Schizosaccharomyces pombe: one gene and its partner. The protein of the gene in region 2 interacts with the protein of the main gene of each other region in a biochemical or structural test. Each region holds a gene or a part of one and is shown on either strand. Other genes may lie near its edges.

What was found.
Region 1: the proteins of mcm7 (region 2) and mcb1 form a complex in vitro, tested with the Schizosaccharomyces pombe proteins (one study listed by BioGRID).

The regions. Positions count from the first base shown.
Region 1 is NC_003424.3:904,766-909,299, reverse strand, and holds mcb1 (mini-chromosome maintenance complex-binding protein mcb1), read right to left. Parts: upstream 2,504-4,534; 5' UTR 2,417-2,503; coding exon 2,255-2,416; exon of another isoform or gene 2,211-2,254; coding exon 867-2,210; 3' UTR 501-866; downstream 1-500. Other genes in the region: SUMO E3 ligase Pli1, read right to left, coding at 1-376, 429-461; DNA replication factor C complex subunit Rfc4, read left to right, coding at 2,945-3,012, 3,156-3,267, 3,323-4,171; rce1 (CAAX prenyl protease), read right to left, coding at 4,168-4,534.
Region 2 is NC_003423.3:3,716,810-3,721,891, forward strand, and holds mcm7 (MCM complex subunit Mcm7), read right to left. Parts: upstream 3,231-5,082; 5' UTR 3,112-3,230; coding exon 829-3,111; 3' UTR 768-828; downstream 1-767. Other genes in the region: nucleolar protein Dnt1, read right to left, coding at 1-47, 100-242; ribonucleotide reductase small subunit Suc22, read left to right, coding at 4,946-5,082. UniProt on the Schizosaccharomyces pombe protein: Acts as a component of the MCM2-7 complex (MCM complex) which is the replicative helicase essential for 'once per cell cycle' DNA replication initiation and elongation in eukaryotic cells.

The DNA of each region.
Region 1 (4,534 bases), on a different chromosome or scaffold from region 2:
GTGCATTGAATTGTTCCAAAATGTCATAAAAGGGACTTTTTCGAAATCGTATTCGCGAATGAACAACTGGGGCGAAAGGACGGCTGTATGATCTATTTCCAGAAGCTGAACTAGGTGGAGCAATTGGAGCAGCAGCACTATATATCTGATATGTGTTGTACTTTAAGATACATACGGCACTTGTAACATCGCCATCGATTGCCTTTTTCAATGCTTCCCAAGAGGTTGTGTTGTTTTCTATAGCTATCCTCTCTATTAGTTGTTTAATTCTGGTAATGAGCTCAGCTTTTGTTCCTGAAAGACGAAGTCCAAAAACACGAAGTATATCTTTCAGTTGAGGTATAATAAGACCAGTTTCCAGTCGCTTTAGTACATTCTAAACATTCATTTTGTTAGTTAACTTGTAAATATCTTATTATTGGGCTTACTGGAAGCTCCTGTAAAAAGTTCGCCTGGTTCATTGAGTTTTTAGACTGCTTGCCTAAACCGTCGATTTACACATATGTTATATGCAATGACTGCTTCCGTATAGGTATTTGAAAGACAAAGAAATCAAATTTTAGCTAAAAATACAATGAATTATATTTATTCCTTGAATCTCTGCAAACGCCTGGTTGGCAAAACTTGAATTTAATATTTGAAGATAAGGAAGTATATGGCAGTGCGGTATGTGATAATGTAAGAAAACAAAAAAAAAACGGGCAAGTGAGCTTTACTTGTAGTAATAATTAAATAACAATATAAATGAACTTTTGATGAATTTGATCGAATGAATGAGGAAATTAACTTGGAAATTCCAAAAAGACATGAAAAGTAATTTCTAACATTGGTTAAATGATGTTGATTATAAGAAAATATGCGATCAATCAGTTGACAGTCCAATGATTGATTAGACTACGGGCAGCCTCAAAATCAATTCTTGAAACCAGTTGACGACCGAAACTCTTCGCGTAGAGACGAGAGCAATTGATCTGTAATGAAAGTGTTTTTTCATTGATTTCTTTATTATATTGACGGGAGCTCACATATGTAGATTGAATATAATCCAGCATGTTTTCGGGAATATTAGCACGCATGTTCCACATGTGAAAAAAATTACAAAACTCTTGCAGCTCATCCGAATCAGTTGGAAATTCAATAGTGTCCGGAGAATCGCCTCTACATCTACAACCGACATCAGCTGGCAAAATAGATCTTCCATGGCTTAATATAATTATTCGAACATTACTGTGAACGGTAAAAGAACTGAAAGGATAAAAAAATGTTAAATCCTGTTGAGATATTAGGGAAGACAAAAACTGAACGTTACGGCATCCGACATCGTTTAAGGTTCCACTCGATAGTTCAGTTTCATCAAGAACTATAAGGGTGCCAGGAGCCACTTGCAAATGGCTAGTATCTAATGTCTCTCCATCACTCAAGGGATAAAGCGGCTTCCTGTTAAGCTCGGCGACATTAACTTTTTGAATCACCATTCTTTTTATCAAAGGCCGTAACACAGAAACTAACTGGGACACTAATTCAGAGGTGCAATTTGTTAAATTTAAAGTAAAACCACCTATAACCAAACCAGTGGTTTTATGAACAACGTTGGAAAGAAGAGCAAGCATAAGACTTTCCGCAGCTATATTTTCACCAAGGACTTTTTCAAAATATTTTAATATTTTTGGTCGAATGATCTCAGCTTGCTGAGGAGAAGGGGCTTGAGTAGCTGATTGCGTATAATCCTTAAAACATAACATGTGTAAAATGGGTAAACCATCCGAGTATTCACTTGGTTCTTCATAAATTCCAATAACATCGATTGCTTGACAAACTTGAACTTTAGTTTCCATTCCGCCATAGCATTTAACACAAACGCCGGTATCATTACTTGCTTGTAAGCGGTTTGAGTACTTCAATGACCGTTCTTTCAGACTCTCGCTTCCCCAGTTTCCCAAAGCTTCTATAACAGGAAGAGTTCTTTCTCCAGGAACATTTGTCAGAAACAGTGAATATCTTTCATCTAGGACAATTTTAGATTCATCTAAATGCATTTCATCTTCGCTGAAATCAAGTATGTATCTACAGCCTCTCCAAATGTTTTCATTTACCTCTACAGCTCCAGCAAAAAATTCATGCCCAAAATTGGTGTCTTGCACCATACCTTGAAGACGAAGTAGTTGACCAGTCTTTAACTCAGACCATTTGCAGTCAAGATAGTTTGGAATCTAAATATTCAGTGTCAAATAAGAGAAAAAACCACTTAACAAACCTTTCTTATTCTTTCCTCTGTAGCGAAAATATTAGAAACTTCTTCATCGATGCCTAAAGTGCCTTGTAAATCGGGCTTAGATCCTGCAAACAATGCATCCTGAAATCTTTGAAGAAACGATCTTGGATTTTCGATAAAAGAATCAGATAAAGCAATTACCATATTATAAATATATAATTTTATCCTTTAAACCTATTGAAACCAGTAATGATAAAAGATGTTGATATTGCAATGTGCAATGTTCATTTCACGTGAGCGGATTGACTTTAAGTACCCTTTTCTATGGCGTTGCATATACCTAACGATGTACTAATTGCTGTATAAATTCGCTTAATAAGAAGCTTAATTTATTAAGAAACAGAAGGCGTGAATTTAAAGAGTTATCTATTGCTTATTACTACTCTTAAAAGAGAAAAATATTAGAATTTTACAGATTATTGATCGTTTTTGTAATAATATAAATATATTGATGTGCTTGTTTTCATCATTTGTGTCGATTGTACAAACATATATTTTAAAGCTAGCTTTGATAGTGCATTTAAGAATAAAAAAAATTTTCAGATTTACATATTAATGCTCTTTTCTATTCGCGATGGGTGAAGTGACTACCATGCAGTGGTTAAAATACTCAACAAATTTACTAGTTCACTGGAACTCAGTACTGATGTTACTAGTTCAATAACACTGAATATGAGTAATGCAGTATCATCATCAGTATTTGGAGAGAAAAATAACTCTGTAGCTTATGAGCTGCCATGGTATGTATATATTATGAGCAATTAAAACGTCCTTTATGAAGGTTTTAGTGTTCAGCTATTACGATTGCTTCTTGGTGACTCAGGCATCTTTTCATAATTTAAAGGTTCAATATAATATAGTATGCTGATCTATAAACTTATAGGGTCGAAAAGTATCGTCCAATCGTCCTGGATGACATTGTTGGTAACGAGGAGACGATTGACCGACTTAAAGTTATTGCCAAGGAAGGGAATATGCCTCATCTAGTTATTTCGGTAACCTATTTTTTTTTAATTATTATTTATACTACATGCTGACTTATATTTATAGGGAATGCCTGGTATCGGAAAAACGACGTCTATTCTTTGTTTAGCACATGCATTACTTGGCCCAGCATATAAGGAAGGTGTATTAGAATTAAATGCTTCAGATGAACGAGGTATCGATGTAGTGAGAAATAGAATTAAAGCATTCGCACAGAAAAAAGTCATACTGCCACCTGGAAGGCATAAGATCATTATTTTAGACGAAGCAGATAGTATGACGGCTGGAGCTCAACAAGCTTTGCGTAGAACTATGGAAATCTACAGTAATACAACGCGTTTTGCACTTGCTTGCAATCAATCCAACAAAATTATTGAACCTATTCAATCGCGGTGTGCAATTCTCCGATACTCACGTCTTACGGATCAACAGGTTTTACAGCGTTTATTGAATATATGTAAAGCGGAAAAAGTCAATTATACAGATGATGGTTTGGCTGCCCTTATCATGACAGCAGAAGGTGATATGCGTCAAGCAGTGAACAATCTACAGAGCACTGTTGCTGGATTCGGTCTTGTGAACGGTGAAAACGTTTTCCGGGTCGCCGATCAGCCTTCACCTGTAGCGATACATGCCATGCTAACTGCTTGTCAATCTGGAAACATCGACGTCGCCCTTGAAAAACTTCAGGGAATATGGGATTTGGGGTTCAGTGCTGTGGACATTGTCACTAATATGTTTAGAGTAGTAAAGACAATGGACAGTATTCCGGAATTTTCAAGATTAGAAATGCTTAAGGAAATTGGCCAAACTCATATGATTATTTTAGAGGGTGTGCAAACCTTGTTGCAGTTAAGTGGTTTAGTATGTCGCCTTGCTAAGTCACAGATGAAGCCGGAGTCTTTTATTATTTAGTTTAATGGCACCAGTCTTGGTTCAAAGTCTTGATGATTATTAAAATCAGTAATACCCCAAGTCATATAAAATATCAAAACCCCTAACAATAGTAACGTGTAATAAATCCTAGTCTGATTTCTGTTTCCAATTTTTCCGTACAAAGTTGGCAGCCCCATTGAATTACAAAAAGCATGTACTAAAAATGAAGGAAATAAGCTATGCGTGGAAAGGAATAGATGTGTTGTATACCATCCAAAAACTGTGGTGTATGAAAACTGAACAACAGTTTGAAGAGCGGCAGCTATATATGCATTCGGATAGGCAAGTAGAAATTCATAGGTATGATGAATATGCGCCATTCCAAACAGCAGAGGCGCAACA
Region 2 (5,082 bases):
GAATGTCGTAGCTTTCTTCATTTTTTATATTTCTTATGTTTATATTTCTATAATAATTTTCGTTAATAGTAGAAAGATGGAGCATGCTGCTATGCTTACGATTCAAAAGGATAAAGTGATTTGTAAGTTTCCTGCACTTTTTCTTTTAATAAAGAAATTGAAGAAGATGGGTCAAACAGAATCATAAATTGATTATCTTGTTCACCATCTTTGATTATATGAAGCCTTAATGTAGTTCTCATTTCGAATATTCAGCAAATTTCTTTATTTGATTCTTACGGAGAAGTGGATCCGGCAAACTAGTTATAATGGAATTAATCAGTATTAAAAAGACGTTAAAACAAAGTAAGTTATTTAAAATGGAATGCCCATTTCTTGACACCAATGGGTATCCAAAGTTGGTTGCTCTAAGGAAGTGCGTAAAGTTCTATTCGCAATTTACTCGGCATGACAGCAGGAAGGGTGGGACAGCAGTGATGAACAAGTTAAAGGTGTAAAATAATGCTAAATGTCAAGAAATAAAAACTCATTACTCATTCCTACGACTCGAGCATATTGACACGTATCTTAAGGTTTTATGGTCCTTCCAAATCTAACGAAACATATTGGCTTAATATATCTTCCTTTCAATTGCGTGAATTAACATTTGAATACAAGTAAATAAACTATCATAGATTAAAAGAACGACAGATGTATTAGTCAGAATTAAAGAATATTCAACAGAAAAGTAGTTTGACGTCTCAGAATAATTTCTATAGGTTGTAAATTAGCTTAAAGCAATTAATTGGCAGAAAAATTAAATGATAGGAGTTATCTATTAGTAAATTGTTAATTCTCCATATGTAAATCCGGATCGAGGAACATTATTGTTTGACCATTGTTTGTAGTTAAAAGAACACCAAGGTCTGTATATTCCTGTATTGTATTTATTAAATGATCTTCAGTAAAACCCTTAGCAAGTACGCGTTCACGAATAGCACGTAGTGTAAGTGAGCGTTCATTGCCTTCAACATCTGGTATGCTATTAAGCATGTCTCGAATAATTTTATATATTTTCGAGGTAATAGTAGTATCGTGAGAACTAGGATCCAAATCATCGTATAGTGATGACTTTGAAACAGACATTAATCTCAAAGCTTCATCAACATCGCCAATCTCCACTCTATTACTGAAACGCAAACGAGCTAATGCTTGTCCCATTCGCAAAATAGCGAGAAGTGTACGTGGAGTAGTGTGAGCGAATTGACGCTCATTGGCTTCATCACGCTTTTGGTTTTGTCGAAGTTGAACATAAGCACCAGTAACATAGTCGCATACATCCTTTGGTACGACTGGGCGATATTGTCTAGCAGAAGAAATATAATGCCTAATCATGTTTGGATCTAATGGTTCAAAGTCCATTTTAGGTTGTTCGTTATGCATGTGAACATATGTTACGTGTTGTGCCAAATGCTCGTCTGTTTCACGAGAAGGAGTATCTAAAATTAAAAATAAAATATCAAACCGGGAAAGCAGTGCAGCTGGAAGATTTATATTGTGGATTGGTGCCACTTTCGGATTATATCGTCCATATAAGGGGTTCGCAGCGGCCAAAATACTTGTTCGAGCATTTAAAGTCGTAGTGATTCCTGCCTTTGAAATTGAAATAGTTTGCTGTTCCATTACTTCATGAATTGCTGTACGGTCACTTTCATCCATCTTATCAAATTCGTCAATGCAGCAAATACCGTTGTCAGCAAGTACTAAGGCACCTCCCTCTAAAACCATTTCATCCGTCACTGGATCACGCATTACAGCAGCAGTTAAACCAACACCTGAAGATCCACGACCTGTGGTGTATACTCCTCTCGGGGCAACCTTCGAAATATACTTTAATAATTGAGATTTTGCGACACCAGGATCACCAGTTAAACAAATATTTATGTCACCACGAATTCTCATTCCATCCCCTAACTCTTTAGTAACACCTCCGACAAGCAACAGAAGTAAAGCTTTTTTAACATCTTCATGTCCATATATCTCGGGAGCAATGGACTTGGCCAGTTTTTCGTACACATTGCCTCCTTGATTTAATTCAGCGATAGCAGCCTCCGATTGAGGAGTTTTTTCAATATTTGTGTAATTTTTAATGATTTGTGAAACATAATGGCATTCTAAGTAAGTATCGGTTAAGAGCCCGGCGCGCATTGCTCGAAAACCAGTATACGGAGTCGGCAAAAATATACCAGAAATATCAACGATATCGCCAGGATTTACAGAGCGAGTGATAGCACCATATAAGTGGACGGTTAATGATCTAGGGATATGGCCAATAGGTACTTGGTTCGTTAATTCTTGTATTTTTACTTCCTGAAAAGGAAGAAATTTACTGGCTCTTGTGCTCATGAAAAGCTGACCTTTTGCATCATTCTTTTTACATTCATCCGAAGGACATTCAGACATTGGAAGGAATGTCTTCTGACGGATTTCTTGAAACACTTCATACCCACATCGATCACATGTATAAGCATTTACAGTTAAGCTAGGCTTAACATCACTTGTACGAGTAACTATACCACGGACAGTCAAAAGAGATCCCAAGTTTTCGCCTCTTAAATCACGAACGCTGAATGGTTTTTTGTTGCGAGTTACTGGTCGAAAGTATAAGTCATAACCTCGGGTTAATTCAGGAGGAAATCCTTTATGCTCAGGGTCTATATTTTCATTCCTTTGAACACGTTGCTGCATAATTACATCAAGTACTTCGTTGCGATAATTAATTTCCACAGTAGGAGGAGGCATCAACGCATCTGCGCACTGCGAAAAAAGTTCAACAAACCGTTTAGCATTAGATTCAATATTATGCAAAAGCTGAGTATCACTTGGATCGAACTCGTACAAATCATTCAAATCAACATTAATAACATTTGACTCTCGATTGGAGATTTTTTGTAGTATATCCATATACTTTGATTTTAAAAAAGGCTCATCACCTGCATCCGACATCGAAATATCCTGATTTTGTTGTCCATCTTGAACCTGTTCCTGCTTGAAGTGGGATAGAAAATCCGTAATTTTATGTTGACATTCTTCATACTCTGGGATTTTTAAATCTATGGTGGGAAGTGCCATGCTTTTCAAACCAAAAAAGTATCCCAAAACTTTTCTGCTGAATTAGCAAAAAATATAAAGGTTCAAAAAGAAAGCAAGGGTATTAAGTAAGGGTAAGATACCAAGAAAGGTTCTTCTTTAGGTTGTTTTAGTTAGTTGGTAGTATGAATCAACGCGAACTCGTAAGGTAACAAAAATGTAAATATTGTAACTTAGGGCATATACAAATTGTCATTGACTCTAAAGAAATTGCAGTGTATAATTTTTTTGATTCTCTACATATTTCCTTTTTAATTTATTACTCTCGCAGCAAAAGTAAACATTCAGTTTGATTTTAAAAGCCACTATGTAGTACTGTTAGAAATTTTTTTTGGAGAGTATTCACTATGTATAAATAAACAGTTTATTTGTTTTAAATTAATAATAATCATTTTGCCAGACAATAAATTGGTCATTTTATTTTCATAAATGTATGTCTAATTGTTTTCATTGCTTCAATCGATTGTTATTTTAGCTATCCATAATTTTTCCTATTTTTCTTCTACACGTTTTGTATTTCTAAACATGAGAGTTATTTAGACTACTGCCTAAAATTTATTTCACTTTTATTTTTAAAAATTTTTTTGAAAACTTATGAAGTAAGTTAGCAGGGAAATTCTCAAAAGAAATGCGATATCAACAATATAAAAACTTCGAGTAGGGAACTTTTTATTTTTTGTTCGGTTATTTCAAACATCAGTGAAGAATGAATATAGAAAATTCTTTATTGTTTTATACCACATTGTAAACTGTACCTAAAAGCACAACACGCAATAGAAACGTGCTATTGGAATGCTTATTTATTTTCTGTTTACAATAGACGAATATAAGTATTTCTTTTTTTTTTTACGAAAGGATCAAGGTATTAAAATTATTCACAGTATGTGGCTAGGTCTCTGTCGCGCTTATCTTTTTTTAATTAAGCAATGTCTTTATGTACGGTCGCGTCGCATTAGAAGTTTCGTGATTTGTAATATTTGAGCAGTTATAAAGCGCTCTACATCTCGGATGAAAAGGAGATTGTGAAGAGATATTTATTTCTAACATCATATCGTACTACTAGGCTGATATCATTGCGTTTCATCTACAACATAAATTGAGGTACCCTGACGCGTCTTAAGTATTACACTGAAAACTACTTTATTAAATTATAACAAAAAGTGAGAAATTTAATAATTTATTTATTACATAAAGTAATAAATTCATTTCTATTTTTTCAATTATTTGAGCCTAAATAATTGAATTTATTCGACTCCACGCTTAGCATCGAATTCTTCGATTTAAGCTATCACATTTTTCTATTAACTAGCTACAATTTCCTGCTTTAAGAAACCGTTATTATAACACACCAGAAGGGAAAGGAAGTAAGCCCTTGCTTTTCCCATTTAATTTGAGATTGTCTTCGAATTTATTTCATTTTTTTTACTCGTTGCGTTTGTCTCCAAATATTAATTAGTACATTGTTTTTTTTCAACGTTATTCATCTCCATCAGCCTTTGACTTAGTTTAACTGCAATTTTCCACTCTGTAAAATAAGGCAGCATTTTGTCTATTTTGCCTTCACTCTTATTCATTGTGTTATCATACCCAAAGTGCGACAAATTAACATCCACAAAAAAAACGGTGGTGTTGAATATACTACAATACTGTGCACTACATTGGATAACCTACCTTTGAAAGTTTTGCCATTAACCACAACACATCTTGGGAAGCCACATCGCAAGAGATAATCGCGGTGGAAGAAAACTTTTGTACTTATTCTATATACAGATAAATCCGGTCAGTTTGGACGAAATCTCATTATTAATCTTACAAAATGGGCCTTGAGCATCTCGAAGAATTCAGTTATCCTAAGGAACATGGTGAAGAAGTCGAGTATGATAGCGAACAAGGTGTTCGTAAAATTTATGTTAAATCTATTAAAGAAACCTTTAACTTTGATAATGTAAGTGA